Linked DNA regions of Caenorhabditis elegans. The protein of the gene in region 4 interacts with the protein of the main gene of each other region in a pairwise test. Each region holds a gene or a part of one and is shown on either strand. Other genes may lie near its edges.

Evidence for each region.
Region 1: the proteins of gip-1 (region 4) and frg-1 interact in a two-hybrid assay, tested with the Caenorhabditis elegans proteins (one large-scale study listed by BioGRID).
Region 2: the proteins of gip-1 (region 4) and C14B9.3 interact in a two-hybrid assay, tested with the Caenorhabditis elegans proteins (one large-scale study listed by BioGRID).
Region 3: the proteins of gip-1 (region 4) and rotr-1 interact in a two-hybrid assay, tested with the Caenorhabditis elegans proteins (one large-scale study listed by BioGRID).

Annotation. Positions count from the first base shown.
Region 1 is NC_003281.10:12,976,258-12,982,458, forward strand, and holds frg-1 (Protein FRG1 homolog), read left to right. Parts: upstream 1-2,904; 5' UTR 2,905-2,917; coding exon 2,918-2,985; intron 2,986-3,044; coding exon 3,045-3,555; intron 3,556-3,609; coding exon 3,610-3,855; 3' UTR 3,856-3,906; downstream 3,907-6,201. Other genes in the region: ZK1010.2 (DUF155 domain-containing protein), read right to left, coding at 120-500, 1,082-1,605; ubq-2 (Ubiquitin), read right to left, coding at 1,752-1,912, 1,962-2,048, 2,126-2,264; dbd-14 (DB domain-containing protein), read left to right, coding at 4,836-4,895, 6,018-6,201. UniProt on the Caenorhabditis elegans protein: Binds to mRNA in a sequence-independent manner. May play a role in regulation of pre-mRNA splicing or in the assembly of rRNA into ribosomal subunits. May be involved in mRNA transport.
Region 2 is NC_003281.10:8,105,954-8,113,762, reverse strand, and holds C14B9.3 (uncharacterized protein), read right to left. Parts: upstream 4,974-7,809; coding exon 4,887-4,973; intron 4,829-4,886; coding exon 4,690-4,828; intron 4,348-4,689; coding exon 4,247-4,347; intron 4,172-4,246; exon of another isoform or gene 4,029-4,171; intron 4,004-4,028; coding exon 3,867-4,003; intron 3,821-3,866; coding exon 3,681-3,820; intron 3,508-3,680; coding exon 3,407-3,507; intron 2,997-3,406; coding exon 2,876-2,996; intron 2,828-2,875; coding exon 2,607-2,827; 3' UTR 2,550-2,606; downstream 1-2,549. Other genes in the region: gei-8 (Nuclear receptor corepressor 1), read left to right, coding at 195-266, 807-1,511, 1,560-1,914, 1,968-2,146.
Region 3 is NC_003281.10:6,147,005-6,157,135, reverse strand, and holds rotr-1 (Nbl1_Borealin_N domain-containing protein), read right to left. Parts: upstream 7,176-10,131; 5' UTR 7,121-7,175; coding exon 7,074-7,120; intron 7,023-7,073; coding exon 6,983-7,022; intron 6,862-6,982; coding exon 6,752-6,861; intron 3,735-6,751; exon of another isoform or gene 3,655-3,734; intron 3,625-3,654; coding exon 3,516-3,624; intron 3,451-3,515; coding exon 3,319-3,450; intron 3,033-3,318; coding exon 2,844-3,032; intron 2,731-2,843; coding exon 2,602-2,730; intron 2,553-2,601; coding exon 2,403-2,552; 3' UTR 2,196-2,402; downstream 1-2,195. Other genes in the region: anmt-2 (Nicotinamide N-methyltransferase), read left to right, coding at 218-704, 1,291-1,368, 1,896-2,033; Y42G9A.2 (uncharacterized protein), read right to left, coding at 8,126-8,392, 8,840-8,938; Y42G9A.3 (Leucine-rich repeat and WD repeat-containing protein 1 LRR domain-containing protein), read right to left, coding at 9,187-9,430, 9,589-9,945, 9,997-10,131; wht-7 (ABC transporter domain-containing protein), read left to right, coding at 7,551-7,637, 7,687-7,743, 7,790-7,898, 7,942-8,069.
Region 4 is NC_003281.10:2,344,010-2,351,817, forward strand, and holds the start of gip-1 (Gamma tubulin complex component protein N-terminal domain-containing protein), read left to right. Parts: upstream 1-3,581; 5' UTR 3,582-3,585; coding exon 3,586-3,658; intron 3,659-4,627; coding exon 4,628-4,720; intron 4,721-4,769; coding exon 4,770-5,027; intron 5,028-6,237; coding exon 6,238-6,442; intron 6,443-7,808. Other genes in the region: phf-5 (PHD finger-like domain-containing protein 5A), read left to right, coding at 83-171, 2,405-2,572.

The DNA.
Region 1 (6,201 bases), about 11 Mb from region 4:
TTCTATCGAATTCAGTGTGCGCCTTTTTTGGAATATATTTTAAAAAAAAAACAAAATTTTTTAAAGGCGCACACTCTTTTTAATTTGAATTTTTTTCGCGATTTTTTCAGATTCCTAACCCTATCCGTCTGTCTAGTGAGAAATGGCGTCCCGTCATCGTATAATATTTCTCCAATTCAGGTCGTTCCCAATAGAAATCCTTATTCAACAGGGTACAATCAAGATTAATCGAGTGTCGAAGAGCTGCGAATTCTCCGGATCTCATGAGAGCCTGCTTCCGGCTCCACGGAATCTTTCCCAGAGTTAGCGATTTTGTAGTGTTGGAGAGTGGCTCCGCAAGATTGTTTAGAAGACTTTCCCAGACTCCGATTTTCACGGAAGCAGCGAATCCCTGACTGAGTGCAAATCGCTCTAAAATTGCTTCGTTCGAGCCGTGGAAGGCGTCCAAATGTTTTCCCGAGAGGTAGAAACGATCTTGACGAATGGTGGATCCTGTAGACCTGGAAATAATAATTTTCTTTTTTAATACTTTTGAGTTTTTCTTAATTTTAAAGTTTCTGCTGGAAAATGTCATTTTATTTTTCTTTTTTTTTTGAGTTAAAAATTGCAAATTTTGCAAAAAAAAAAGAGGAAAAACCATGCCGCAGGGTTGCAAAATGACGCCCCGCCTCTATATCTGTGCGGCGCCGTTTTGTTTTGCAAATTTCGCTTATATTAATAAAAAATTGTAAATTTTTGAATTTTTGTCGAGTTTTTCCTAATTTTGAAGCTTCTATTGGAGAAAATTATCTAAATTTTCTTTTTTGAACAAAAAAAGTGAATTTTGCAACAAAAAAGCAGTGTCGCACAGAAAAAGAGGCGGGGCGTAATTTTGCAACCCTGCGGCACGGTTTTTACTTACTTTCTTTTTTTGAATGAAATGTTATCCAATTTGATTATCATAAGGTTGTGAGGCTAAAACTCAAATTTAAAAAAAAAGAAGTAAAAACCGTGCCACAGGGTTGCGAAATTACGCCCGCCTCTATTTCTGTGCGGCGCCGTTTTTTTTTTGCAAATTTGACGATTTCAAGAGAAAACGTACTGCTCTGAAAATTTATAGAACATTCTATCCTGCTCATCCATCACAATCATCGAGTCATATGGAGCATCTGCGTATCGTTCGAGCTCCCGTAGAATATGCGATCGCTGACTAGAATCAACGTTCCAAAAAACGACAACTCCATCTCGAAACACGAAAATTTCACTGAGTTCGCCTGGATTGATGGTATATTCCAGTTTTTTGACAAAGTGCAAGCTGTCATCCGCGTCCTCGTCGATTGCAGTTATATTATACATTCCATTGAGCTGTGCATCCATGATGACCTCATTGAGGTTCAGTGATTCTGAAAGTGCCATGGCGACGACTGAAGGTTCTCGTAGGGATTTTGGAACAACCGATGAAGCAACTGGGCGTCTCTTCTTCATCTTTCTAACTTGAACCCGTTCCAGATTAATTATCTCTTTGGGCTGGGTCTCGCTCCGCAGAAGTGCTGTGAATGAGAACTGGCGCCTGGCTGGACCCGGCTTTGTAGCTACTAGAGCTCCCCGAAGTATTGATTTGAGCATCTGTATTTTATAATGATTCTTTGTTACCATGTACAAATCTCATTCCAAAAATCCAATATTTACGAAATTTACGTTTTGCACAAATAGCGACATTCAATTAAAATTAACGATTTATTTGCCAACACATGGACTGGAACGAGTGAAGATTACTTCAGCTTCTTCTTGATGCGGAGCTCGCTGGAGTGTCCGCACTTCTTCTTTCTGCAGTTGCTGGCACGTGGTGGGAGACGAGCATAGCACTTTCTGCAGATCTGCTTGTCGCAGTTGTACTTCTGGGCGAGCTGACGGAGAGATGGCTCGATGATTCCTGAATTTAGAAATATTTCTCAATGCCTGAACATTAGAAAAAAACTAACCTCCACGAAGACGGAGCACCAAGTGGAGAGTAGACTCCTTTTGGATGTTGTAGTCGGAGAGAGTACGTCCATCCTCGAGTTGCTTTCCTGAAATTAGAAAATTATATTGGGTGTTTTGCCCGGAAATTAATTCAAGAATATATCAGGTCTGAATAATAACGTACCGGCGAAGATCAATCTTTGCTGATCTGGTGGGATTCCCTCCTTGTCTTGGATCTTGGCCTTGACATTCTCAATGGTATCGGAAGCCTCGACTTCGAGGGTAATAGTCTTACCCGTCAGAGTCTTGACGAAGATTTGCATGACTGAAATTATATAATTTGAAAAGAAACCGAGTAAAATTGTCAGAAAATGACGGCGAGAGCGAAACATTTGGAGGAGAGCGTAGGGGCAAAAATTATTGATTTTTCTTTAGAGACTAGTTTCAAAGGTGACAAAAGACGTTATAGACCGCATAATGTGTGTAACTACCCATTTAGAACAAAGAGGAAAGAATATTTTGCGTTAAAAAGCTGTAAAAATTCAAGAATAGAGAAATTATTTAGCAAAAAAATGAAATTTCATAATAAATTCGTTTTCCAAGCTTAAAATACAACAGAATCTCCACTTTCTATGCTGAACAAGCGTCCAGAACAATATTTTGATTAAATTGAACAGAAATTTGGAAAAATTTCGCAGAGAAACGGCGAAAATCGAGCAAAAAAACGGAAAAAATTTAGGCCCAGCGACACAAATGGAGGATTGCCGTGGTGATGGGTCTCGCCGCGAAATTGAGAGACGGCGAAAGTACGGTAGAGAGCTGCAGGATTTACGGGAAGGGGGAGAAGAATTCGAATATTATTTTTTTGTTTCAAACGTTTTTCGAACGTTTTTTTATTGATTTCTTCGAGTTTTGTTATGAAATTTACAGTTTTATTGATGAAAATTTTGTTTTTTATTGCAGAAAACTTCAAAAAATGCCAGGCGCTGACTACAGTGCTGTAAAAGGTGGTGGATTGAAATTAAAAGCCGGAAAAAAGAATTTGTAAGTGACATATTCAAGTTTAAAGTGTATAAAATCCTCCATTAATTCACTCGTTGCAGATTCAAAGTGGGAAAGGAGAAAAAGAAGAAGAACAAAGACGACAAGGAGAAAATCGATCCAGACACCGTCGAAAATGGTGGTTGGCGCAAAATTGCCGATGAATTCGATATGAAAGGAGGAACCAACGTCGCCATCGAAGTTGCCAGTGGAGCCGGCTCAACGCGAACTTATGTCGCTGCAATGGACAACGGAAAATTCACAATTGGATTTCCACATCCGGAGGGAGAAGGCCCGAATCCTGAGGAAATTTTCGCGCTCGTCAAAACTCCAGACGATAGTAAAATCAGTTTGAAGACAGGATTCGGAAGATATGTTGGAGTGGACAGCGAATATCAATTGGTTGCCATGGCTGAAGCTATTGGATCCCGCGAGCAATTCGTGTTGGTTTTCCAGGAGGGAAAAACCGCGTTCCAAGCCGTCTCCTCACCACTTTTCCTCTCTACAGTTCCAAATAAAGAGGGGCATATTTATGTGGCTAGTAGAACCGCTACGGAGAATGAAATGGTTAATGTAAGTGCTAATTTAGATATAAATAGATAAAATCCGATTAAATTCAATTTCCAGATCCGTACAGACGCTATACAAGAAGGCCCAGTCGATTGGAGATCTGTGGAAGACCGCAAAAACGCTCGGGAGTGTGAGACGGCCTACGTGAAGATGTATCAGCACTCGAAGGTTGATCTCAAGAACCGACATATTGCGATTGACGTGAAGGACAAGAAAGGAGTTAAGAAAGCGCAGGCCGACGGAAGTGCACACGAGCTGCTGCTGGACAGACGGATGAAAATGAAATCTGATCGATATTGTTAATAATCTTCACTTGTATTTGTTCTGTAAAATTCAATAAATTCTCTAATAATTATTCTTTTACTTTCTTTTTTTGTTTAAGGATGGAGTATCGTCAATGGGGAAATTGCTTTAAAATACTCTTATAAGAGCTCTTATAGGGCCACCAAAAATCTCAGTTTTCACTATTTGAATTACCGCCAATTAAGTTTGTTCGACGGGGCGCGCTTGCATTATTTTTAAAATTTAATCTTATTTATTCTCGTTATTTGACTGATTTCCTTTATTACTTGTGTATTTTTATTGGAAAAAGAGAGAAAAATGCAAGATAAATGAAAATTGTTCATTAAAACATCACTGAAAATGCGTAAAACTATAAAATTATGAGTTCCGACGACAACAAGTCTGAAATTAGCATTTTTCACACAAGTTTTACCAATTTTCAGTGATTTTTTAATGAACGATTTGCATTTTTCTCTCTTTTTTTAGATAAAAATACACAAATAATGAAGGAAATCAGTCAAATAACGAGAATAAATAAAAATTAATTAACTAAAATAATGCAAGCGCGCTCCATCGAACAAATCCAATTGGCGGAAATTCAAATAGGAATTAGGGGGAAAACTGAGATTTTTCTAATTTTCAAAAAATCATATAAAATCTAGAACATTTTTTTGATTTTTTTTTTAATCATGATATTCGGTCATTGTGACCCAATTTTGTGACTTTTTGTGACGTTTCAAAGCAATTTTCCCACTGAATTCAGCTTCAGCTCGCTTTTTCAAAGTTTTCTCTTCCGAGACGAGATTAATGAAGGCCATATGCCGTCCTTGGATGGCATGCAAGCTTCAAGTACTTCCCCTCCACTCTTTTCCTTGAAATCGTACCTTCCTTTCGCCTATACTCCATATGGAAATCCGGTTCCACTGTCAATTCACCGGATGTTGTTGTATAAAAGAGGAGGCATATGAACTGTAGTTTACCAAATTCTGCCGAAAAAAAAAATGGCAAAGTCTACTACAATTTTTCTAGTATTAGTTGCCGGTGCAGTGGTTACCGAGGCTGTGAGTATTTGGAAATTAAAAAAAAATAGGTCTCGAAAATATGATTTTTAGATTTTTAAAAGGTATTTTGAAGCTGAAATTGCAATTTTTCAACTAAAATTACGATTTGCCAGGTCTCGCAAAGAACGATATATATTTATATATTTTTGAACAAAAACGGTGTGCGCTTTTAAGAATTACAGTAGCCTATTTTTATATTTTTAAATTTATTTTAAAGCTGAAATTGCAATTTTTCAACTAAAACTACGATTCCGGGTCTCGTACAGAGCGACATTTAATTTATTTTTTGAACAGAAAGGTGTGCGCCTTTAAGAATTACAGTAACCCATTTTCTTTTTTTTTTCTTAAAAAATCTTTTTCTGTTGAAAAACTACACTGAAATATTACGGGAACACAAAATTCTTAAAATTCTTCTTGCACAACATATTTGACGCGCGAAATATTTCGTAGCAAAAACTACAGTAATTTCTTAAATGACTACTGTAGCGCTTGTGTCGATTTACGGGCTCGATTTTTTAAAATTAATTAATATTTGAAATCGCAGCATTATTTTCTCATTTTTAGCTTAATTTTAATATTTTATCGATAAAAAATAATATTTTAATCCACCCGAGCCTGTATATCGACACAAGCGCTACAGTAGTCATTTAAAAAATTACTGTAGTTTTCGCTACGAGACATTTTGCGCGTCAAATGTGTTGTGCAATACGCAAAAATTGAATTTCGTGTTCCCGTGATACACGAAAATTCCCTAAAATCCAGAGAAAATTTTGGAAAATCGAAGAAAACTTGGAAATTGGTTACTAGTTTTTTTAAAGGCGCACACAATTTTTCGCGCCAAATTTTTTGAAAAACTTATGCTCCTGGCGAGATTGAGTGTGCCACGAAACATTTCCACATCAAAAAAAAATCGATTTCTTCAACAAAAAAAAATCTCTGGTGGGTATCACAATTTCGCGAAATTCTGGCACGCGCTATTTTGGGTCTCGTCACGATCTCAGTCATAGTGACTGCTACAGGCGCCAAATTGTACAGAAATGTTCATTTTGGATAGAAAAGAAAATATAACAGATTTTGCAAATATTATACATTTGCGTTAAAAATTTCTGAAACTCTTTTCAGTGCTTATCATCCGGAGTGTGTGGCTCATCATACTGTGCTGCTCCGCCGGCAGTCTCATGCTCTCCATCGTCATGTCAACCCGGCTACTCTTGTGGACAGTACGGTTGTGCGAGGAACCGCGCCAGAAGTGCAGTGACACAAAAAGTCGAGGGAATCTTTATCGATGACTCTGGAAATTCCAAGG
Region 2 (7,809 bases), 5.8 Mb from region 4:
AATAAAACTATTTTGACTTTAGAAAAAAATCTTTGTGTAAACAAAAAATTTATGATCATGATTTTTCTCTCAAAACCTTCAAACGTTTCCCTCCTCTACTATTCGTTTATTCTATAACTTAAAAATTTCAATTTATTGGGAATGAAGTGCAAAATCAAGTAGAACAACCCTGTTTCTAAAATTTTTAATTTCAGATCTCTGGGGCTGCTGGTCGTAGTATCACTGCCGGAACATCGGGACATTCATCTACTTCCGATTACAACAAGGTTTGTGCTATAGTTTTTTGTTTTTTTTTTGAAATGTGTACACTTCTCACAATTTTTTTCAATTTTCGCTGATCTTAGAACGGTTTGTCTTTTTGTCTGAAATGAAAATGTGTCAGAACGCGAATGATTCACATGATGGCAATTGTTTATTCTATTCTTCTCTCTTTTGGCATACTAAAATGCTTCGCGATTTTTTCGAGTATATTAGTTTTTTTTTTCGAAAATCAGAACGAAACTCCAATGATTTAAAACTGACAAAACAGTATTTTGAAAAACAGCTTTTTGTAAAAAACCAATTGTGAAATAAGATTGCCGATTTGAATGTATAATATAAAAATAATAAGCAAAAATGAAGCATTTTAGAAAAAATCAGCAATTTTCTAACTATCTTCTCTTTTCCTTCACCTCCGAGAGTACACATTACTGCGTAAATCGACACATGGCATTGTTAGAGGTTTAACGGCCGTTCTTCCATTCTCAAAATCGGAAGCCTTCATTGGTTTCATTTCAATTTTGCAACTAAACAATTTGATTTTTTAGGAACTTGCTGAGAGGATGAATGAAGTTTTCAAGCCAACTCATCCGCAGCTTCTTCAAACAAAAGCTTCTGCAATGAATTCGAATGCAGTGTCACCTGCAAACACAAATAATTCAGATGAAATTGAATGTGTATATCAAGGACCACCCAAGACGCCAGCATCTATAAAACGTCTTCAACCGACAGAAGGACCTAGAACTCTTTCTGGACAACGAATGAAGAGCATTTTAAGTGTTCCTGCTCACCAGCGAAGATCGAGCATTCCACCAGTGAAAACAGAAGATGAAGCTATGGAGTGTCTTTCAATGATGATGTATGAAGAGGCGAAGGCGCCGCCATCTGATCGGATTGTGACTAAATTGATTTCGAGTAGCGAAGCTGCTGCCGCCGCGAATCCGTCTGCCAAGTTTTCGTATCTTGATATTTTTAACGACGTTGTCAAGAGAGACGAGGAACGTTGTCAGAGAATGCTCCAATCGACTTCTGTACTTCAACCATCACGAGAACTAGATGCATTCCTACAACAATTGCAACAGAATCCACAGCAATATGCAAATCTTTCCGCGGCGGAGAAGCTCGCACTACAACAATATCAAATTCATAGTGCTCATCAGAAATCTCAACAACAAGCTCAACTGCAGGCGGCACAACAATTGCAACAGCAGCAGCAAGCCAGGCCTGATCATTACGAGAAATTCCATCTTTTGGTATGTATCTTTAAAATTGAAATGAATTCTATGAATCTTTTCTTACAGCGTCCCAATGCGGAAATTGTCCGGCCGATCCCAACAACGTTTTCTCATTTTTTGAACAAAGCGACAACGTCTACAGTTTCATCGTCCGCATCAGCTCCACAGTTTCTGCAACCGCCAGCAGCAGCTTCAATTGCTGCACCAACTCCAATTTCCACACCACATGCGATGCCATCTCCCTCAGTAGGTGTACAGACAGCACCTCCGACTCCACAAGCTGTACATCATCCTGTTATGCCTATTATTCCTGGTAAACCATCATCAGTCAACTCAAATGTGTCAGATGTGTCTTCAGATGATGACGATGTTCGAAATCCTGAGAAGTTGCCAGCCAACAGATTGCCTCCTCTTCCAGGCGGTAAGCTTTTATTCCCACGAATTTTGTCAAAAAAAATATCATAATTTTTCCAGATAAAACAGCTTTCCGATCAGTTATCGATTTACGGGCAACCGGTCACGTGGCAGTTACCAAGAAGATTCCAGTCAAATATCCCTTAGTTGTTCAAGCTCAAAACGGGATTCAACCAATCAAAGATTACGGTCCACCATGCAAAAATCTTGTTTATGAAGACTTATCGGATGATGAATAGATGTTTCCTACCTCAATATTCAAATTTCCTTATACCATTTCATTGCTCCTATTTCTTTACTTAATCTCTTTCTTTCACTTAATCCATTTAAATTCCTCCCTTCAATGCTTTCCCTTTTTAACAAATACCCTTCAATAATTTACATTAAACTAGGGTTACTGTAGCGTACAAAGTACCGTATTATTTGTGTTCCATTCTCAATTGGGTTGAGTGGCACGTGTAAATAGTTACGAGTATCAATTTTCTTGTTTCTCCAACTGTCTCTCCTTCTCTTGAATATCATATGTGTTTGCGTGATTTCATTCAATTCTTTTTTGTCTTGACTGTTTCAATTGCTTTTTGTGAAATTATTTTTAAATATTTGGTTGTTTAATCGGTGATTCTTTTGTTTCTTTTTTTCTCATTCAACAAAAAACTGTATTCAAAATTAAATAAACATAATTGTAACTAATTCATCAATCTACAAGCTAAGAATCCTTCGTTGATTATATTCAAAAGCTCTGCAGTGTTCATATTTTGCTCCTTTTTTGAAATTAATTGGATCAATCGGTTCACACTCTCCACTGGACGATCGTGGGAAACAAATGAATGAAATGTTTCTAATATCGATTAGGAATGACAGATGAAACGTTGCATATGCAATAATAATGAAATATTCCATTAAAGCGAACAGTTGGGGCACTGAAATTAATTTGATTCAATTAAAAATAAGACAGAAAGAAAACTTACTATATGAATGACAAATTGGAAATGTGATAGAAGATTGATGATATTGCATATATTGTGGCATTAAATATACATAAATAACAACTGATATTAATTTCATGATCATTGATACAGTATCCCATTTCTGAAAAATTTAATTTGAAAGTTTGAATTAATATTAATTTTTATGGGGTTATTTTAGTAGTGTTCGAAAGTTTAAAAAAGTGTAGATTATTAGTGTATTTAGTATATAGTGTAGTGTAGATTGGAGATTTTATTCAAGCCACCAAAACATGTAATTTAATACATTTGTGACGTCATAAAGTGTATTTATTACTGTAGTACTTAGAGACGCATAACTTTTGTACGGATACGATGCGAAAAAATTTCGTGGTGAGACCTTTATTTTTGTTTTTGTGGATGATAAAATGTGAATTTCAAATTAAAACGTCAAAATTTAGCTTTCCTTTTGTAATCCTTTTAAATTTTTGAATCAGATTTCTGACTTCCAAATGCCAAATAAAAATGAAAATTGTCTTGTAATCAAAAACTCACACTTTCAGAATTCGACGAAAATGCAAACATAACCGTAGTGGTGGTCAGCATACTAACAACGGATGACATTGCAAATACAATTTTAAAGAAACGATTCGCTTCTGAAATTAAACGATATTTAGGTTAAGGGTCCTGTAACGAGTGGAACTTTTCAAATACAGTACCATTATTTGCTAATTTTTCTCGATTCAAAAAAGTTTTATTTCCTTTAAAAAACATCGTTATTCTGATAGAACATTTACTACAAAATGGATTTTTTAGCATCAGATTTTACCTGGAAAATCCTCATGTACAGTAACAATACTGAATAGGGACATCATGAAAGCTTCAACAAAAGTGAAAATTGGCATTGAATCCGCCATAACCTTATGTAATGATGAGAACTTTTTGTCGTACTCATGACGGAGAAGATTTCTGAAAAAGGCGTTGAGTTTGAAAAATACTTTAATTTTCCAATTACCTTATTGTAAGTGCATTGAATACTCTAATTACTATTGGTATACAGACTGCATATCGGAAAAGGACATTTCCTATCACGTTCAATTCAAAAAGATTAAGAATTGATGGAAGCCCATCTGCTGGAAATGGAATTGTTGTCTGAAAACAATTAATTGAAAATTTTCAAAAATATCTGCACGAAGTGGGATTCGAACCCACGCACCCATACGAGTACCAGAACACCCAGTTAACCTCGAACTTGAGGCAAGCAATGTACGCTTGAGTCTGGCGCCTTAGACCACTCGGCCATCCGTGCTTCGAGAGTAACAGCGGTCGAGAGCGTACACTTGTCACGGGTGTTGAAGGGGTGAGAGTCAAAGTAGGGGGAAAGGGGAGACTCACGTTACATCGAAAACGACTGCTGCCATATTCTATAACGTATCCTCGTATTAATTCTCGTTCATCAGGGATGTAGTCGGATTTTAGGGATGTGAAAATTCCTCCTGAAAATAAACAGCTAGCATTTTGTCTTTTTGTTTCTTTTTCAAAAAGTTGTTGCATGTAAATATTTCAACAAAACTCGAAGATTTTAAAGATTTATATTGTAGTTTTGCAAATTCTCTGTGCAATTATTCCCATGGTTAAACTGCAAAAGTACGTTATTCGGTTTCGATACGATCAAAACCTTTTCATTTAAGCCTGCGAAAAGAGTGTGTGCCTATAAGGGGTACAGTAACCCAAGCTATTGTTTGCTTCGCATTTTTCGTAGATTTAGTTTCTTTTGTTAGGTATAACCTAAAGTTCTAAACGAAATTTCTCAGAGATTCTTATTTATAATATCTTACCCACAAAACATCCCATTGAGATAACTGTAAATACAAGTGATGGTACAATAACTGGAAAATTCAAATACGCAATATCTGAATTATCATCTTCTGCATGTCCATACTTGAGCCTACGGTTGTCTTCTGTACTTCGAGGTACCTATAATTATATTTCTTATCCCTCAATTCATGAGACCTTTCTTCAAAGATTCACTTACCCGAATTGAGTTTTCATCTTTTCGATCTGCCGATTCGAATGCGTAGTTTGCATAGAAATCATCTGATGTCGACGCAACAACTGCCATCTTTAAATGAAATGTGTTCGTTTTTTGAACAAAAGTTGAACGAATACAGTGACACGAATAAGGGAGAATTGAATAGAAAAAACTTCATTTTTAGACCGTGACGATTTTCAAGAATTCGATGGAGAATTGCAAACAGTGATTGGAAAAAGTATTAGCGAATTTCACTCTAATAGGCGGAGTGTCGCCAGTGGGAGAAATTATTGAAAGCATTCATAATGACCAAATAATTTTAATTTTTTTTTTGAAAATCTTGTGTTTAAAAAATGGCGAGGCATAATTAATACTGAAAATGGGGTTAAAAACATATGTCCCCTACTATTGTGTTGTGTTGTAATTATTTGTATTTAGACATTCTAGGGGTTCAAGCCTGCACTCCACTTTTAATAGTTCTAAATATTATTTGGCATTAGGTAGACCGTCTTTTCAAAGGTCATAACTGAACGGCTAAATACAAAACGTAAAATTCCATATTATCGAGTAAATAGCTTGACAATCCTCAAGCAAAAATATCTAACCTTGAAAACCACAAGAACTTAATGTTTTCCCCGTGGAATGGACATTGAATGAAACAACAACTGATGAGAAACAGGTGAGATAGAGAGAGACTTCTTTTAGACTTTTTCTGTTAAAAGTGCGGAAGATAAGAAAAAGATAATGGATAGCTAATTGAAGTGATCGTTTAAATTAATTAAATTGAATTAATTGGCATGATCACTGAACCTTGAAAGTAAGTTGAAAGAAAGTAAGCATGCTCTTTTCAGAAGAAACATTCTCTGAGAAAAATTATGAAACTTCGTTAATGAAATTTTTGTAATTTTTGTTGTGGAAGACAGTTTGAAGCAGAATAATGCCGGAAATGTAATTTGTCAATTTTAAATCCATCTTAAAACAATTAAATAAATAAACTTAGATCAAAAAACATTTCAAAACATGAAAAGACCAAGATATGAACGGTGTTTATTTTTTAGAAAATTACATAATCGAGAAGATTGTGCAGATGTTTTTCAACGGTATTACCTTTATATAAGTTCTTAAAAGCAACGAGCACTGATAAGAAAATAAAAAATGACGGAACTTATAGTTAGGTAAACGTCCAAATAGACTCCTCCTTTTTCATGGTTTTTTGCATGTTCACAACAAATTTTCTAGTGTATTTAGAAATGATTCCAAAAGTTTTAAGGTAAACTCGCATAAGTGAAGATCAATTTTAATTTTGAAATGATTTTGTAAAGTACTTTCACAACAACTGAGACCAAACAGGTACTTGCGCCAAAAAGTGACCGCCAAGTCAGTTTTTTTGGACACTTTTTAGAAAGAGATCCAATAGAGAACAATGAAAATATGTAGAGATGATGAGACGTAGACAAAAGGTTAACAATAGAAGAAAAAAGAGAAGAATGATTCGAGAAATGAATATATCAGGTTATACAAGAAGACAAGAAAGCTAGCTGCTTATCATGCTTTGTTTCGAAATCGTAGTGTCCGGTCAATGTGATCACTTGGTTACCATCAGGGTATTATTTCTGAAATATATGAGCAAAGATTGAAGAATCTATTCTCAAAGTAACTAAAAGTTATCGGACTTCAAAACAAAACTCTGAAAACTTTTTGTTAGTCTAAATTAAGACAAGTCTGGAAGAAAACTGTCGTAATAAAATTTCTGTTGGTGTTTTATTGGGTAGTTAAAGATTATTTTAAAATTTTATTAGATGTAAAAATTATGTGGGGAGTAGTTTTCTTCCAATAATAAAATTCGTATTAATTTAATAAAACAAACATGTAGACACAAAGGGAGTTGTTATTCGCGCTTAGAAGAAAGCGACGACAAAAAGAAGACATGACTGTCAAGTCAGTAACCAGTAAATCTTATTATGTACATAGCAATGGGTATGTACTTGCAAACTGATGCATCGAAATGATACCAGCTTCACTTATAAAATAGTCAAAAGAGTTACACATTCGGTGTTCGGTCTCGGTTTAGCTTAAAATTGGAGAAGCAAGAAAAAGTGAAACCAAAAACTCATCTAGATAACATAGCATATTCCGATTGGGCAAAAAAGCACTTGCTCCCGGTGAGGCTCGAACTCACGACCTTCAGATTATGAGACTGACGCGCTGCCTACTGCGCTACGGAAGCGGCGACTCAACGTGCTGGTAAAGGCCTACATGAAAAATACATGCCAAGGAGCGAGAGACATAGAGGGAAGGGAGTAGTGTGAGAACGAGCATTGCTTTTGAAGAGTTTGTAGAGTTTAGTTCAAGCGTAAGATTTATAACAGATCAGCTTGGGTAGCCTGCAGTTTCTTTAAAACTTTTGATTGGCAAAATACAACCAAAAATAGGAGTTGTCAATTAGAAAATAACTCGGCTTTTCTCGTAAAATAAAATAGAGTTATTTTTCACCGAGATCTACTTTAAAGTCACTCTTTAAGTAATAGTCGCACAGATAAATATTCAGATAGGTCTCGCCACGAAATCTCTAGTTTCGATGCGAAACTCAGAAATTGGTACCATAACCTTTTCTTCGTGGCGAGACCCATCCAAATGAATCCGTGCGCCGTTAAGTACGAGTTTCACAAAGTCGTAAAAATTGGATATCAAACTTTGAAATCACGCAGTATGGAAATTACAGTTTGTCTGTGAAATTGCTTTATTGAACTTGGATGAGGAACAAAACGAAACTTCGAATTACACATATTACTGTCATGACGTGACAAAACAATGATTACGGGTATACTTTTCTAATGACTCAGTGAAACGTTTTCTAATTATTTCTGTCTGTAGAACCTTACCCTCCTCTCTCTTTCTCTATGTCTTGTCATATCTGAAACGGGTA
Region 3 (10,131 bases), 3.8 Mb from region 4:
GTAGGAGAGGATCTTTTGTGTCAAGAGATCGAAAAAACTGAGAAAAGAGGAGGGAGGCATCATTGGCTCTTAGACTCTAAACTTTTGAAAATGAGACGACACATTTTTGGGTGCTATCAAGTCAAGTACCTGTCTGACAAGGAACGAACAATCCAAGGGAGAGAGTATAAACATCAGACATTCCATATATATCCAAAATTTCATTTCTCATTTCCAGAGATGCTATTGAAGATGGAACCCGTGTTTCCCTATTCGCACTTCCTGTCTTCGCCCAACTTATGCTCCAAACTATGCGACCTTCTGAACGTGAAACTCTTCTGGATATTGGAGCAGGACCAACCGTCTATTCGGCTCTTTGTTTCCGTGATGTGGCAAAGCGTGTTCACTTATCAGATTTTGTCGATCGGAACCTTGACGTTCTGAGAAAATGGATCCGCCACGAGGAGACTATTGACTGGGTGCCAACTATCAAAGTGATCAACCGAACGGAAGGAGGTCCCACTCCAACAGATCAAGTATGCATTGATGTTGAAGAAAAAGCCCGCGGATTGGTCAAGTCTGGTGGAATTCATTTCGCAGATGTTCACCAGATGGATGTGGTCCCTGAATTGGCTGGGAAGAAGGTGGATATCCTGGTGTCGATCTTCACGTTAGAAAGTGCTTGTCGCAACTATGAAGAGTATTGTAAATGTGTCACTAATATGGTAAGTCTAAATGGATTTTTGCGGTTTAGGCTTAGGCTTAAGCATATCGTTCGTTTTAGGAGCTTGATTATGCCATTAAGGTTATTTTACACGTCTCTTCTAAAATAGTTTCTGAAATCCCAGTACTGAAGATAGATCTTGGTTCACATTTCTTTTTCTCCATTTCTAAGTTCAAAACACGAATTTCTTTCGAATAGAGAACAATAAAATTGTAAACTACAGTAAACTACTAGCTCAAAGAGTTATTGTAAGTGTAATTCGATCTATTTTATTCTCCAGTAACAACTTCGTCATAACTTTCTTTTCATATTCCTATATCTCTTCACAATCAGTGTTCACTTCCCCTTTACACCCGTTCTCTATTTCTCTGTCTATCTTATATCCAATTTTCACGGTGCCAACGAAGAAAATGAAAAAAAAAAGAGTTTAGAAACAGATGTCTTTCATCTTTTCCAAGATGTAAAGTGTGTCGTTTTTCGGAAAAAAAAGAAATGAGAATGAGCCAACGACTGAATGGCACCAGATTTGATAGTTTGAAATGAGAAAAAGTGAAATCAAAATGTGTTTTGATTTTGTGTGATTCCAGATGAGACATCTCCGTTCCGGCGGTCGTTTTGTGCTTGGTTCGGTGCTCGAGGACGATGAGTACAACTCGGGAAGAAAGGTAGGAAAGGGCCAATTGATCTGGTAATTTGATCTGTGCTCTTGCGATTTTAACGGGGTCAGTTTGTGTGATTGCGTCAATGATGCAGGTATATATGATAGCTAGAGAAGTTTTATTGGTTTTAGGCGATGGGAATGAGGATTGAAGGATACAAATTCAGACTTGTGATAGAACATATCTTTTTGAAACAGTGCTAGTATTTTTTTTTTCTGAAATATTAGACGTTTAAGCGATACATTAACTTCGAAAACGGAGCAGTGGGGCCGCAAGACTAACATGTTACTGTACTTAAAATTAAAGGAAAAACCGATAAACCGTTTTCTCGAGGATGTTTCTTGTTTTTCTTTTTACTTCCTCTTACTTTTACCCGCTCTTAGCATATTTCCAAACTTTGTACAAAATTTAAAAAAAAAACATATGATTGTTTTTTCGCGCGGCGAGACCCAACTGTATAAATAGACCTGCATTAAAATTCGTAGCCAAAATACTCGTATGTATATGCCAACAAAAAAAATCAAAATTTACAGACAATCTTCCATCTCCTCAATCTCAGTGAACAGATGATTCTTGATGCTCTTGTATCTGTTGGTCTTGATGTTGCCAATGCAAAGAAATACGTTTTGGACGGAGAAGGTGTCATGTTCATAATGGCTACGAAGCTCTAAACTTGTTGTTTAATTAGATTCCCCACTCGATCATTTGTCAGTATTGATGAAGTCACTAGGCGTATATCAACAAAAAAGTACTGTACTCGGCTTTAGGTCTCTTTCACTTCTTTTTTTAATTGTGCACTATATTCTTTTCATATGTTTCGCTTTTTAATTGTAAAATGGTCAGAATTCATCCGTCCTCTGCATGTTGTATTTCGAGCTTACTGGTTTGCTTAATATTGATATAATAATAATAATAAATCTGTAGAAATTGAGAACTGAATTAAAAGTGGAGCATCAGTAGAAAAACGTTTGAAATCATCCAAAACCGAGGTAAGTGCTTAAATATAATAAAAGTGTGTTTCATATTCATCAATTTCAATTTCAAACTTTCTGAGTTCCATCATCGCTGGGCGGAGAACGATCGAGTCCCAACAATAGATCATCTCGATTTGGAGATGCAGGAGATCTAGAAGAAGGACGTGGCTTTTTGGAAAATGAAACATCTGATTCTTCTGATTCTTCACGACGACGCTATAAAAATTTCATTTAGTTATATTTTTTGATGGAATATTTAGATTACCGCTTTCAGTAAAACCCTTTTCACTTCATGAGCTGAGTTTCCAAGTTCTAGCAAATTGAACGCCGATGATATCATTTTCAGATTGGGTGGTGCGTACATTGAGATGTAGTTGCAAAATTGATTCAGGATCTCAAAAATATTTTTTAGGAACAATTAATCCAGAGAATCTGAATTAGGTGCCTTCAACCAAATCCAAAGAATACATACACTCTCGTTTCTCTGCAGTAACCGTTATTCCTCACCTGTGTCAATGTATGAAGCCTGTTAATCTCTTGAACGTCATTCTTGAATTTTTCAAACATTTCCAGCAACTGCTTCACTTCATCGTAACTAAATCCAATTTGCATTAGATCAAACTGTCGTTCCGCAGGAAATCTCATCAACTCCTCTTCGGACGCTAGTGGAGCCAGCATTTCAATGTGATTCTTCCGCTTAAATTATTTATTGAAAATTAAAAGATTTGATAATTAAACCAGTATAACATCGACGTAGGCATATAATACCTTCCTTGTGCCTACCTACTGCTACACTACAAGACCTACTTATTTGTTATTATCTCAGTTGGTTTACATCTAAAGGTTTACATCTACATCTAAAGTTATCATCTAAAGTGGCCTCAAAATGCAGAAAATGTGTAATAGTCAGGTAGGTCAGGTAGACTTGTTATGATAATATGGGCACGGGCCTACCTACTACGACAATCTCATAAAAACTTACTGTGTGATTGTTCAATAAACTGCTAAGAGTTGTTGGGGTCACCACAAAATTTTGGCTCTCTGAAGTCGTTGAAAGAGAGCTCTGAGAATCGAATCCCGGTTGAAACGACAGAGGTGTGCTGGGCTCGAATTTCTGGAAAATTGCAATCTTACTATTAGTCAAAAATATTGGAAAATTGAATTTAAAAAATATCCTACATTTATATTTGATTTCAAACGATTTTTCAAAGATGCCCTTTGTATATCGGCTGCCCGACATATCCTATCAAAGAATAGCTCTTTGTGTGGTCCAAGCAATGTAGAGAGTCTTAAAATTACCAAGTTTATATAAGAATACCAAAAAAGTAAAAATAGATTGCCCCAAACCAGGATCGAACTGGTGACCTTACGATCTTCAGTCGTACGCTCTCCCAACTGCACAGGTAAAGCGCCAAGTGCGAGCGGCGGCCCACCGGTGGACCGCATATAGGCGAGGGGGGACCGCATATAGGCGAGGGGGGACCGCATATAGGCGAGGGGGGAACCGCCGACACACGAACAGCGCGCACACCGGTGGGCCGCCGTTCGCATGTTAGCGGCTCGCTAATGGGTGAGCGATGGGTGAGCGATGGGTGAAGGCTATCGTTTCCATTCCCCTCCTTTTGCTTTTCAGTGAAGAATAATATTCATAAAACGAGTATATTATAGTATTATCGTTTATTTTAAATCGAAAAAAAAACAAAATAATTTATTTCATCTTTTGATGATTTCGATGAATCGTCCTCTGGTGTCATCGGCAATTGACTCGTTTCCGCTTTTCTTCCTTTTGTCTTCCTCCAGTAAGCGATTTTATCGATCCATTTTCTGAAAAATTCAAATGATTAATTTTAAAGAAGTTTAATAAAGAAGATTAATCATTATTACATTACATTATACATTTTCGCTCGTTAGAAACAAGTATCGATATTTGAAAATAAAATATTACCTTCGCTTTCCAGATTCCTTCGGCTCTCGTTTGCGGTCGTCGGAGCTTTTCTCGTTCGGAGTCGGTGCCGGCGACACTCCTGTAAAAATTATCATGCTTTAGAGTTAGTTTGACGATTTTTCTTTCGGGAGAATACATTTTAAAACTTTAAAACTCACTTTAACAGCTCATAATCGTGTCCCTCGCTGCAGGATTCCTCGTCGAAGCCGGCGAAGTTGCGTCGGGACGAAATATCTGAATTCGAAGATTATTTCTCGCTTTTTTTCGTGACAAAAATTTATATTTTTCGAATAAGAAACCAATTATAATTAGTTAACAGAAGAATAGACGCAGAGTTTCTCAATATTTCTGAAAATACCTGATTTTTGGCATCTTTTTCCTATTCCGTCGTTTTGAAGGATCCTTTTCGTTGATTTTCTCGATTTTTATCTGCAAATTATAAAAATGTGAAAAAGAAAAATATGTTGCTCACAAAATCACGCAAAATTAGCGGTAATCGTGAAAAAAAACGAGAAAAATTGCAAAAAAAGCAAAAAAAAATTGAATAAAATTTTCGCTAAAGAGGGCGCGCTAGGGTTATTTCGGAGTGTCGTTGCTATGAAACTCATAATGAGAGTAAGCGTTGAATTGAAATGATTTATTGGTGTTAAAAAACGCATTGAAACGCTGAAAAATAGATCGAATAGTACTAAGTAAGATATTTCCGTTTCAACTTTAAGAGTTTCGAATGAAATTTCGATAAAAATTCTAAATATGACCCTCTTCATCCAATTTGATAAATCATTACTTTGATCATAAGGGTCCCCCCTTATGATGAAAATTGTTGAAAAAAAATTGTTGAAAAAAAAAGTTTTTGGAAACTTTTTATAATATGATTAGATGCTATAGAAAAATGCAATGTTTGTAATTATTTCTAGTTTGTATGTTCTGAACACGATTTCGGAAGAAGACCTGAGGTGTAGTAGAACAACTAAGTTCAAAAAACGCGTTCACTTTGGATGCGTATATCTCCGTGGAAAAATTTTTGATGGCAAAGTGATCAACTACAAAGTTGTTCATCTTAATCTGAAGTACAACTTTGTAGTTTATTGTTTCTTGTCAAAAAAATTGTTGATTGAGACAGGAATAGAAAAAGAAGAAGAAAATTCAAGCATGAAGTTGCCAAAATGAACACAACTTTATCTCGACCAACAATTTTTTTGACAAGAAACAATAAACTACAAAGTTGTACTTCAGATTAAGATAAACAACTTTGTAGTTGATCACTTTGCCATCAAAAATTTTTCCACGGAGATATACGCATCCAAAGTGAACGCGTTTTTTGAACTTAGTTGTTCTACTACACCTCAGGTTTTCGTCCGAAATCGTGTTCAGAACATACAAACTAGAAATAATTACAAACATTGGATTTTTCTATAACATCTAATCATATTATAAAAAGTTTCCAAAAAAAAAATTTTGAAAAATTTTGTAAGGGGGGACCCTTTGGATTTTTTTTTCAAAAATCAAAAAAAATTTTTTTTCAAAAATTATCAAATTTTTATCAGGTATTGTAGAAATATGTTGAATTGTTTGTTTCTATAAGTTTTTTTGCTAAGTTCGGTGCTTTCGATAAGTCAAACCGACATTCCTTGGAGCTCTGAAAATTAAAACCTCCTGTATTAAAATGGATGTATCTAATTCTAGAGGCAAGATATCAAAAAGTTATCAACTACAACGTTGTTAAGTTTAAAACAATAAACATATTGATAGTTGTAAGTATCTCTTCATCTTTATCGAGAACTGAGATATATTTAAGTACAAATCTAGAATATTTTGGTTATCTTTTGAAGCCCACATCTCCGCAGTCACTAAAGATAACAAAAAGTTACCAACTAACAAAATGTTTTTCACATTATTGTCAACAACTTTTCAGTTGGCCACATTTTATTAATTCAAATGCCAACAGAGTTATGAGTCTTTTAAAGTAAGACGTCTATATGCTCAATCAACTCTTATATAGGTGATTGTTCGACTGAGAATGTAATATGAATGTCCAAACTTGTGGGAAATAACAAATTGGTATTTTTTCTATAAATATAACCCTTAAAAAAGTAACAAAATGTTTTTCACATTATTCAACAACAGATGACTCTAATAGTAGATGTTCGGAAATGAAGTGAACATTACAACAATCAATTGATTGTAACATTGTTAACAATAAACACTTCCATAAACACGTATACTAGTTATGCATGAATACTTCGGAAATACTTTGCTATGCTCCTTTTTTACTTCTTTTTTGATTTTCGGATTGGTCAATTTATTCACCCATTGCTTCGTCTTTTTGCGGTCCTTCGCCCATTTTTCCCCCATCGTTCACCCGCCAGCGCCCCTTCACCCACTATTCAGCCATTTTTCACACTTGGCGCTTTACCTGTGTGAGCTATTGAGGCCGACGGGAAAACTGATCGGACGGCCCGGAACGTACGTATGAATTTTCCGAAGTTGATCGAATGTTATCGCTGTTTTCGCATTTGCACTGGACTCTTTCTGTTGACGAATGTCACGTTCTAACATTTGAATTTCCCGTTCACATTCCTTCAAATTATTATTATAGATTTCCAAGTTTTTGATCCAAGGCGAGCAAATGCGCTCTAATGAATTATATTGATCTACCTTCTCAGACTTTTGAAAAACTGTTAATGGAAGTTTAACTTACATTTATTGAAATGAATTGGCCCATAGATCCATCATCATTTCTAAAAATTTAAATTTCAGATTTTCCGAATACCGTACTCTATTCGACTTACGTTTCATATTTGGAAACCGAAAAACTCGACTCTTGACTGTCGTCCATCGTCGTTGATTTTTTCAACACAATGAGCCCTTCTGTTGTGTTGGATGATAAGAATGTCACTTATCATTTCCGACAATCGTCATCGACCGTGGTGCACAGAGCTCCGCAAGTGAGCTCTTGTTGATGACGAGTCGAATCGATTCTGTTTGTTTGTCTTTGCGTTTATGAATTTTTGTGTGAGATGCACATGATTTTTATTCGATATTGAAAACTCCCTATCGGTTTTTCTGTCCGATTAAAATTTTCACCGTCGTCGGTGATTCACCCATTTCTTCTGATAATTTGTCGTCAAGTACGGTGAACTGTGTGTGCAAGTTTGCGTACCGGTGTTTGCGGGGTCAATGATTTATTTTTCGCGCTTCTTTGAATTTTATTACCGCCGCCTTCGGTTTAATCAATTTATACTCATTTTTCACCTTTTTCAGCAAAAATGCTCAAATCAAATGTTATTCAAGGTTCAATCGAGTCAATGAGTGTAGTGGATTCAACTTCTGATATTGATAAAGCTGATAAATCCGTGATTTTTTATTTTTGCATAGTTTTCAATTAATTTTTAATTTTTACAGTTTATGGAAGAGCTTCGACCAAAAATGCTGCTGACATGGCACGATATTTCAGTTTCGGTATATAATAAAAAATTTTGTTGTGAACAATATTTAGAATTTTCAGGACTCTTCAGAAGACTACTCTTCAAATAGTGGACTTTTTGGAAAATGTTGCCCGATCAAAGTCGGTGATGTAGAGAAGATGTCAGTGGAAAAACGGATTTTAGATAGTGGTAAATTTGATACTATCGGAAACGAAATTATAATAACTTTCAGTGTTCGGAGTGGCTCGACCCGGAGAGGTTACCGCGATCATTGGACCCAGTGGAGCTGGAAAAACTACGCTGCTCAATGTGCTTACAAAGCGAAACCTTTCAAATTTGAAAGCTACCGGAAGTGTCAAGGTGAGCTAAATTATAATTTAAAAAGACTGAAAATTTATTTATTTCTTCAATTCCAATTATTCTTGGTTGACAACGCCTTCCACCTTCATTTTCCTGTTCTTAGTTCCATTTTTCTTGGTTTTCTCCATTTTCTCAGTGACAGGAGCCAATGTAGTTGTTGATGAGAGACATGGGACTACTGTACTATGATACTGTGTTGGATATCGTCTCTGTGCATATTGTTTAGCACTTGACACACAGATACTGTCTTCACAATCGGCTGTCTTGGCGGCCAAAACGGTGTCCACGGGAGTCAGACAGTTGACCAACTTGTTGACTGTTTTCTATAATTTGATATCATCAGTTGTGGTGGGACAATGAACATTTTCTGAAAAAAAACCTGGGGAATACCCCCTTGTGACACAGAAAATTCAGAGATTAGGCCTTAAAACTATATTAAATTTTGTGTTTGCAAATTGAGACTTGTAAACCGGTTAACAAGAATTGCAAGGTGTTAGAGAAGATGATATTTAGGACTTTTGCAGAGATCATCGTTCGAAAATCAAATTTGATAAATGATACATTGTCTAAATTCCACAAATTAAATGTTTTTTTTTACTTTGAGCAAAAAAAAAACCAAAAACAGGGAACTTATGTAGTAACCGTACCCCAAAGGCTATTAATTTTGCACAACTAAAAAAATTTGAGAAAAACATTTTTGCAACCAAAGTTTCGCGTTTCAAGAAAAAAAGATAGCAACTTTCATTCCTTTCCAGAAAATAAATGCTCACCTTTGTGTGTTTCGAAAGTTTTGGTGCTCTTGTTGCACATTCCACATGGAATACAGTCAAAATCACAGAAAATATAAAAATTAATGTCAAAGTTTGCATTGTTTCGAATGAGTCGATAAATCACATTGAATATCCATGTCATGACCTCCCTTTGTTAATCTTCTTCGGGTTTTAGTACAAATCGATTTGGTTTAGTCTTTTTAATCGTCTCTAACTATAGTTGGAAAGTGTACCCAAAAAACAGTTCATATAATTCCTCGGCGTATGAAAAAAAAACATGAAAATGTCAATATAACGAGATCACAACTGAGATTCTAAGTTTGAATTAAAATACATTAACACGAAATTCAACCAAGCAAGACTCTTCTCATGATTGGCTCAATCTCCTCTTCTGATTCAGACGAAGTATCGTAGTCGACTGATGGAACTCCGGCGGAGCAACGTGGTGAGCACAGGAACTGCATAAGTGGAACTCGATACTTTCCGCAGAAATCCACAAATTTTATATGCTCAACTCGAGCATCGAAGTAGACTCCTTGACATTCAGGGTTGACACATTGACAAGCGGATCCTAGATAAGCTACGAGATCACTGAAAAGGGTTATTGTAAGGCATTCGATAAACAATTTGATTCAAAAATATCGTACTCTGATCAGAAACAAGGTCACGTCAGGGTTCAATTTGATACAATTTTGAATCACTAGAATGTCCCCAACATAAAATAAAATTAAAGATTTGATAAGACTTACGATGGCAAAATTTCGTCCAGATTCGGTACTTTGTGATAGTTCTGTCGAACAGTTCTTCCTGATAATTCTTTCAATGATGGAGGTGCAAGATCCATATTATGAACGAATGAATGAACCAGAGGATTGTTACGGAGAGATAATTGCTGCAGACGTCGCAGATTTAAAATATCAGTGGGCAGAGTTCGCAATCTGTTGTTATGCAAGGACAAAGTCTCCAAATAGTGCAAATCTCCTAATGTTGATGGAATTGTCTCTAGAATATTATCACAAAGACCAAGGTTTTCCAATTCATCTAGGCAACCAATGGATGCAGGAATTTCACGGAGTCGATTACCTCCGAGATATAGAACTCTCAGTCTAAAAAATGAAATGATTAACAGTTTTTAAACACAGTTTCAGGAAACTTACAACGTAAGAACACTAATGTTTGATGGGCAACTGTCGATGTAATTTCCTCCGAGATGAAGAGTTTTCAATTTTCTCATAGTCAAAATGACTGGTGGTACGTATTCAAGTCGATTTCCAGAAAGATAAAGATGTTCC
Region 4 (7,808 bases):
AAAATTGGTGTTTATTGGCGAGAAATTCGAAAAAATAGTCTATTTTACAAGAAAAAACACTCAAAAAATTCAATTTTTGCAGGCGATGGTCGTTGTGTGATTTGTGATTCACATGTTCGTCCATGTACATTGGTTCGTATCTGTGAAGAGTGTAATTATGGATCATATCAGGTACAAAACACGCGGAGATCTACTGAAAAATGCTCAAAAATGAGTCGAAAATCATTGAAAATCCCGTTTTAAAATACAAAAATACAGTGAAAACTCGCAGAAATACGAAAAAATCGGAAAAATTTTGCAAATTTTGTTGTTTTTTGGGAAGTTTCCACCAAAAATCAACTGATGGCCGAACTCTTTGGATTTCTAGGCCATTGAAAACTGATTTTTCTCAAATTTTCAGTTAGAAATTGTGTTTCTCACCAATTTTCACCCCTAGAAGTTGTGTTTTTTTTTTGCGCAAGATAATTTGGTGGCCTAACTTTTGGGATTTCTAGGCCACCAATATGACAATGATGGTTTCAAGCCGTTTTTATCCTTTTTTTTAGAAGTTTTATTTGAAATAATGACAATAAAAACGATTTTAACTTGAAAATCGTGAAGTTTTCAGTTTAAATTCCTAGAATCCCCTAAAAATCTATGTTTTTTCCGTATAAACCAAATTCTATTCAGTTTTTGGATTTGATATCAATTGGTGGTTGAACTCTTTGGATTTCTAGGCCACCAATTATCTGAACTTTTTTCCCCTGTGACTCTTGTGCCTCTATTCGTATTGATTGCAGTAAAAACGGGTATTTATTCACATTTTCAGCCTTAAATCAGCTGAAAATGTGAATAAATACCGTATTTCTGCCAACAATTTGACAATAGAGCACATTTGTCACTCGGAGATGCGGAAGCTATGCCCAAATTTTCATTTTTCCCGAAAAACTTGTAATTTTTTACGGTTTTTCATTAATTTTTTTTTAATTTTTGAGGCTTTTTTTTGGCGAAGAGTCGCTTTTTAATCGAATTTTGAATATAAAAACTGAATTCTATGTGGTTTTTGGATTTAAAATCATTCGGTGGCCGAACTCTTTGGATTTCTAGGCCACAAAATTTTTGAACTATTTTCCCCTGTGACTTATGTGCCTCTACTCGTTTTTTTTTGTTTGCACTAAAAACTGTATTTATTCACATTTTCATCCTCAAATTGGGCTGAAAATGTGAATAAATACCGTATTTCTGCCAACAATTTGACAATAGAGCACATTTGTCACTCGGAGATGCGGAAGCTATGCCCAAATTTTCACTTTTCACCCGAAAACTTGTGAATTTTCACGAAAATTGAAATTTTTTGATGTTCCAAGTAGATTTTCGGATGAATTTTCGCAATTTTAGCTTTAAAATGCCAAAAATTTGGAATTCTTTAAGAAAAAAATATTTTAAAGTGCCGATTTACGCCGTAAATCGACACTACAATATTATCAATAATGTGCTGCGTGCGCATAAAACAAATACACTTAATCTGTGTATATTGCTGCGTCTTTGACCCCTCTTTTCCTTCGATAAAAATGGTAAAAATATCGATTTTTCGGTTTTTTCCTTGTTTTTTATGGAAAATTTGAATTTTTAAAGAAAAAATTGGTAAAAAACGCTGAAAATTCACTGGAAAAATGTGTTTTTAGCGAAAAAAAATGCCTCGAAATATAAATTTTTAATTTTTAATCTGAAAATTCCCGTGAAAAATGGGAAAATTTTCGAATTTTTCATGTTTTTTCGACTAAAAAGTCGAAAATTTTGTGAAATTTCTCGAAAAAATTGAAGTTTTCTCAATTTTCCAGCTTTTCCCCCTCAAAATGCTCCAATTTTCAGGATATTTTCATATATATTTTTTTTTTTTTTTTTTTTTTTTTTAAATTGTGAAAAACGTTGAAAAGTTCACTTTGGAAAAAGAAAAATATGGAAAAATTCAAATTTTCCACTAAAAATTGACATTATTTGCGGAAATTACCAGCTTTTCGGCGTAAAAAACGCTAAATTTGTCAGTTTTCCGCAAAAAATGCTCGAAAATCCAAAATTTTGTGAAATTTCTCTCAAAAAACGCGTGAAAAACGCTATTCAAAAAAGTGCAATTTTCAGCTTTTTTTTACTAATTTTTTCTTTAAAAAATTCAAATTTTTGACTGGATTTCTTCAAATTCTCCATTAAAAACGGGTTTTTACTCAGAAAAGAGGGGAAAAACCAGGAAAATTGAAAAATTTTCATATTTTTCGACTGAAAAATGCAAAATTTTGTGAAATTTCTCTCAAAAAACGAGTGAAAAACGGCAAAATTTACAAATTTTTCTAAAAAAAAATCGGAAAAACGCGAAATTTTCATGTTTTTTTTCGGCTAAAAATTAAAATTTCCATTTTTTTTTTTGCAGGGTCGGTGTGTGATTTGTGGTGGCGCTGGCGTCAGTGATGCATATTATTGCAAAGAATGCACAATTCTCGAAAAGGATCGTGACGGATGCCCGAAAATTGTGAATTTGGGAAGTGCGAAGACGGATTTGTTCTACGAACGAAAGAAATTCGGATCGAAAAAGTCGTAGAAATTGGCTTTTTGGCGGCGAAAATGAGCGAAAAATCACAAAATTTCGCCGAATTTTCACCTATATCACCTCTAATTTATCAAAAATGTTCCAATTTTCTGTTAATTTCCACTTTTTTCCGCTGAAAATTCCTATTTTTCTTGAAATCTGACTGAAATTTGGCTAAAAATGAGCTGGAAATATCGAAATTTGGCTGAAATCGTAAAATTCCCTTTTTGTTCCCTGAAAATTGAGCAAAAATGTCAAAATTTTGGCATTTTTGACCAAATTTTGCCTATTTTTGTGAAAATTTGCCTTTTTTTTTCGTTGTTTTTATCGAAATTTTGCTGAAATCGCGATTTTTTCCACTATTTTTCCCTAAAACATCCCTTTTTTACTGGAAATTTGGGCAACATTTTGGCATTTTTGCCTATTTTTGTGAAAATGTTACCATTTTATTGAAAAATTAGCTTAAAATGACAATATTTTCCTAAAAATTTCGAATTTCCGTGAAAAATAGCCAAAATGTCACTTATTTCAGTTAAAAATATGCCATTTCCCTGAAATTTGGCTGAAAATTCGCCTATTTTCACTTAAAATTCCGCAAAAAGCCCTTTTTTTCACTCAAAATGTTCAATTTTTCCCTGAAATTTGCCTGAAAAATCGATATTTTCACTCATTTTCACCTTAAAAATTGTCTTTTTCCCCCATTTTTTCCAATTTTCCTCTACCCTTTTATCAATTTTCGAATAAATTATCGATTTTTCTGTAATTTTTCCCTTTTTTTGCTGTGTTGTGCTGGTTTTGTTACCTATTTGTGTATATTTATCTCTATTTTTTACGGGAATTTTCAGTTTTCCCCGAATTTTTCTGAATTAAAATCACTAAAAATCGATTTTTCTTCCTGAAAATTGGGTAATTTTGCGAGAAATTTAATTTTTGTTTAAAAAAAAACTAAAATCTGAATATTTTTTGGAGAAAATTAACCAAAAACTTGAAATTTTATGAAAAAAAAATGGAAAAATTTCAGATAAATGCGTCGACAAGGCAGCGAAGAAGTTGAAGCTGTACAGCAATTTTTAAATGCTTTCGGGTTTCATGATAGAGGTAATTGGATTGAATTTTAGAAGAAAAAACACCGAAAAAGCCGAAAAATTGACTGAAAAATCGAATTTCTGACGAAAAAATGAGATTTTCCATAAAATATCAATAATTTCAAGTAAATATTCGAATTTCGAGGGGTACGGTAGCACCAAAAGTACGCAAACACTGTGGTACACCAAATCTTACGACATTTTGCAGAAAAACTCCTGAAATTATAATAAGAGTTCAGATTTTTTTCATCAAAAGAATATATTGGTGGCCGAACTCCTTGGATTTTTTTAGGCCACGATTTTCTGAGCCAAAAATTTTATTTTGAATTTTTCGTTCAAATCTCGTTTTTTACTAGAGAAACTCCAATTTCGGCTTTTTTTCTCTTGGTTGCCTAACTTTTTTTTTAGATTTCTAGGCCACCCATTAAAAATAGACCGTTTTATTTGATTTTCTACATAAAAACGGGGATTTTGAATTTTGAATAATTCAAATTTTAAAACCAAAATTTTAATTTTAAGTCTTTTTTTTTTTTGAGATATTTGAAATTTTCTAGACGGTTTTTTGGTGATGAATCGGTTTTTATTAGAATTTCAACTATAAAAACCGAATTCTAGTCAGTTTTTGGATTTAAAATCAATTGGTGGCCGAACTTGTTGGATTTCTAGGCTACCAAACTTCTGAACATTTTCCCCTGTGACTCTTGTGCCTCTATTCGTATTGATTGCAGTAAAAACGGGTATTTATTCACATTTTTAGCCTTAAATTGGCTTAAAATGTGAATAAATACCGTATTTCTGCAAACAATTTGACAATAGAGCACATTTGTCACTTGGAGATGCGGAAGCTATGCCCAAATTTTCATTTTCAAGCCGAAAAACTTGTGAATTTTCGCGATTTTTGCACAAAAAAAACCATTTTCAGCCGATTTTTCCGTAGAAAAACGGATTTTTAATCAAAATTTTGCAATTTTCTGTATTTCAGATGTGATAAAAGTTCAAGAAGGGCTATTCCACAGCCGTCAGCTCAACGATGTGAACGCTTCGAGAACATGTGTAGATCAATTTGTTAAGAAATGTATGAAATTCCAGGGAAAAAACCAAAAAAAAAAGCGGCAGTTTTCCAGGCGAACTTCGTGATCCGAACGGAATAAAACCGCTTCGCAAAAAAATCGATGCTCTGATGAACGAATCGGTAGAAATGAATTATATGATGGATTTTCTTGTGAGATGTCGACAGGCTCACTTATTTCATAATGAAACAATAAGAAATAGTCCGAGTATTGGTCTGGGATCCATTGGAGGTACCCCGACCAATTCGATTCCATCCTCATCGCCGTTTCAAAGAAGATCTGCAAGTCGTGGACGGGTGCTCAGCACGCTGAGTTCGGTGTTTTACCGGTTTTAGCCGCGAAAAATTGTGAAAAAACGGAGCAAATATCACTGAAAAGTCGATAATTTATTTGAAAATTGACATTTATTTTCATTAAAAATTCGAAAAATTAGACATTTTCGGTCAAATTTGACCTGAATTTTATAAAAATATTTTTTTTCTCCTTAAAAGTTGAAGATTGTGCTTATTTTTGTTCGATTTTCGAGAAAAAATGCTGAAATAAAACCTACAAAAATGTGGAAAATTGAAAAAAAAAAGTTTTTTTTTTCATTAATTTTCAATAGAAAAAAAAACGAAATTTTTGCCATGATTAAGTGGCCGAACTTTTTGGATTTCTAGGCCACCAGTCGGAAAACTCGGATTTTTAGAAATTTTTTATTAAATTTCTAATTCTCAAGCAACAATTATTGCGTTTTTTTTCATTAATTTTTTTTTAATTTTTGAGGCTTTTTTTTGGCGAAGAGTCGCTTTTTAATCGAATTTTGAATATAAAAACTGAATTCTATGTGGTTTTTGGATTTAAAATCATTCGGTGGCCGAACTCTTTGGATTTCTAGGCCACAAAATTTTTGAACTATTTTCCCCTGTGACTTATGTGCCTCTACTCGTTTTTTTTTGTTTGCACTAAAAACTGTATTTATTCACATTTTCATCCTCAAATTGGGCTGAAAATGTGAATAAATACCGTATTTCTGCCAACAATTTGACAATAGAGCACATTTGTCACTCGGAGATGCGGAAGCTATGCCCAAATTTTCATTTTTCACCCGATTTTTAGCATATTTTTGGGGTTTTGATGGATTTTAAGTGTTGAAATCGGTTTCAGCTAAGAAATTTTCGGTGACCGATCTTTATGGAATTCTAGGCCACCAAGCTGATTTTGAGCCAAAAAGCTATGCTCAAATTTTTATTTTCGCAATAAGATTTGCAATTTTCCATAGAATCATTCCACAAAAATCAAATTTTGAGCAAATCCCCAAACACTGTGGCCTAACTTTTTGCAAGTTTTTAGGCCACCCATTAGAACTTTGGCGTTTTTTCTCGAATTTTCTACAAATTTCTATGTAAAAATGTATTGAAATTGAGAAAAACTACAAATTCAAGCCTATTTTCGCTTTAAAAATCATGAAAAATCATTTTTTTTTAATTGGAAATTCACAGAAAATTGGCGAATTTTTCCATAAAACTAGTGAATTTTCCAGCCGGAGACCAACAAACTCCATCAATTGCCGATTCATCGTCTCGTTCTCGTGCCAATTCCTCATTTACTGCCTATGACAATCGAATGCTTGGAATGGAACGCCAATTGGCTGGAAATATGGCTCAACGGCCACGGAGTCCGTATACAATTAATGGAATACCAACTACGAGGGTTCAGCCGATTAGCGCCAGCAATCAGCTTTTTACGTGCGTAATTTTCGAGAAAATTTGAGGAAATTTGGTTGAAAATACCGAATTCACCGCTAATTTTCACCCCTAGCACACTTTTTCCGGGTTACTGTAGCTTTAAAAGTACGCCAACACCAGATCTAACGACATTTTTCAGAAAATCGCGAAAAAATGAGTTTTTGTGATTAAAAATGGCTCAAATTTTCAAGTTTTTTGAAAAAAATCACTTCAATCTCGGTTCTCCCCCAGTTTTTACCCCAAAAATTCATTTCTTTGACGTTTTCTGCAAAATGTCGTAAGATTTGGTGTATTGCGGTGTTTGCGTACTTTTGACGCTACAGTAACCCTGAAAAATAAGTTTTCCCATTTTTAGATCAGAATCAGCCGAATTTTTCGAAGAAAACGAGTAGGTTCATGGGATTTCCTTAACAAAATGTGTGCTTTTCCCCACTAAAAAACCTCAAAAATCACCCATTTTTTCAGTTTTCTAACCTGTTTTCCCTGTTAAAAATCAGTTAACCTTCAGTTTCTACTATTCTACTAATTTTTTTAAGCGAAAAATCAAAAAAAAAAACGGGTTTTTCATCAAAAAATATATGAAAAATCACTTTTAAAAAAATGTTTAGCGCTTTTTTCATAAATTTTTAAATAGAAAAGTGAAATTCTGTTCTGTCTGGCTGTTTTTTGAGACAATTAATTAATTAATGGCCGAAATTTTTGAATTTCTAGGCCACCGTGCGAATATTTTTAATTTTTCGTTTGAATTCTGAATATTTGAACGAAAATGGGAAAATTTATGGAAAATCAAAACAAAAAATGTGAAAAAAAAATTTTGGCCGTTTTCTTTTAATCTTATGAAAAAAATTTCCCAAAAATTTGCAAAAAATAAGGAGAAAAAGACGAAAATGAATTGGTGGCCGAACTCTTTGGATTTCTAGGTTATCTGTTAAAAATTGAAAAAAAACGGTTTTTTGAGCAAAATTTCCCCGTTTTTTGTGCCAGAAATGTTCAGATTTTCATACAAAATTTGAATTTCTTATTAAAAAAATTGGCATTATCGAAAATTTTGGATTTTTTGAAATAAAACAAATTTTCATGTGTAGATTTACGCCGTAAATCGACACTATAATTTTCTAAAAAGGTAAAAATTCACAGGAAATTCGATTTTCATACTGAAAATTGCTGAAAATTCCTAGAAAGTTGAAAAAAAAACTGAAATATTTGTTCTTCGGCTCCAAAATTGAAATTTCAGTGACTTATGTGCTTCTACTCTGATTGATTGCAGTAAAAACGGGTATTTATTCACATTTTCAGTCATAAATTGGGCTGAAAATGTGAATAAATACCGTATTTCTGCCAACAATTTGACAATAGAGCACATTTG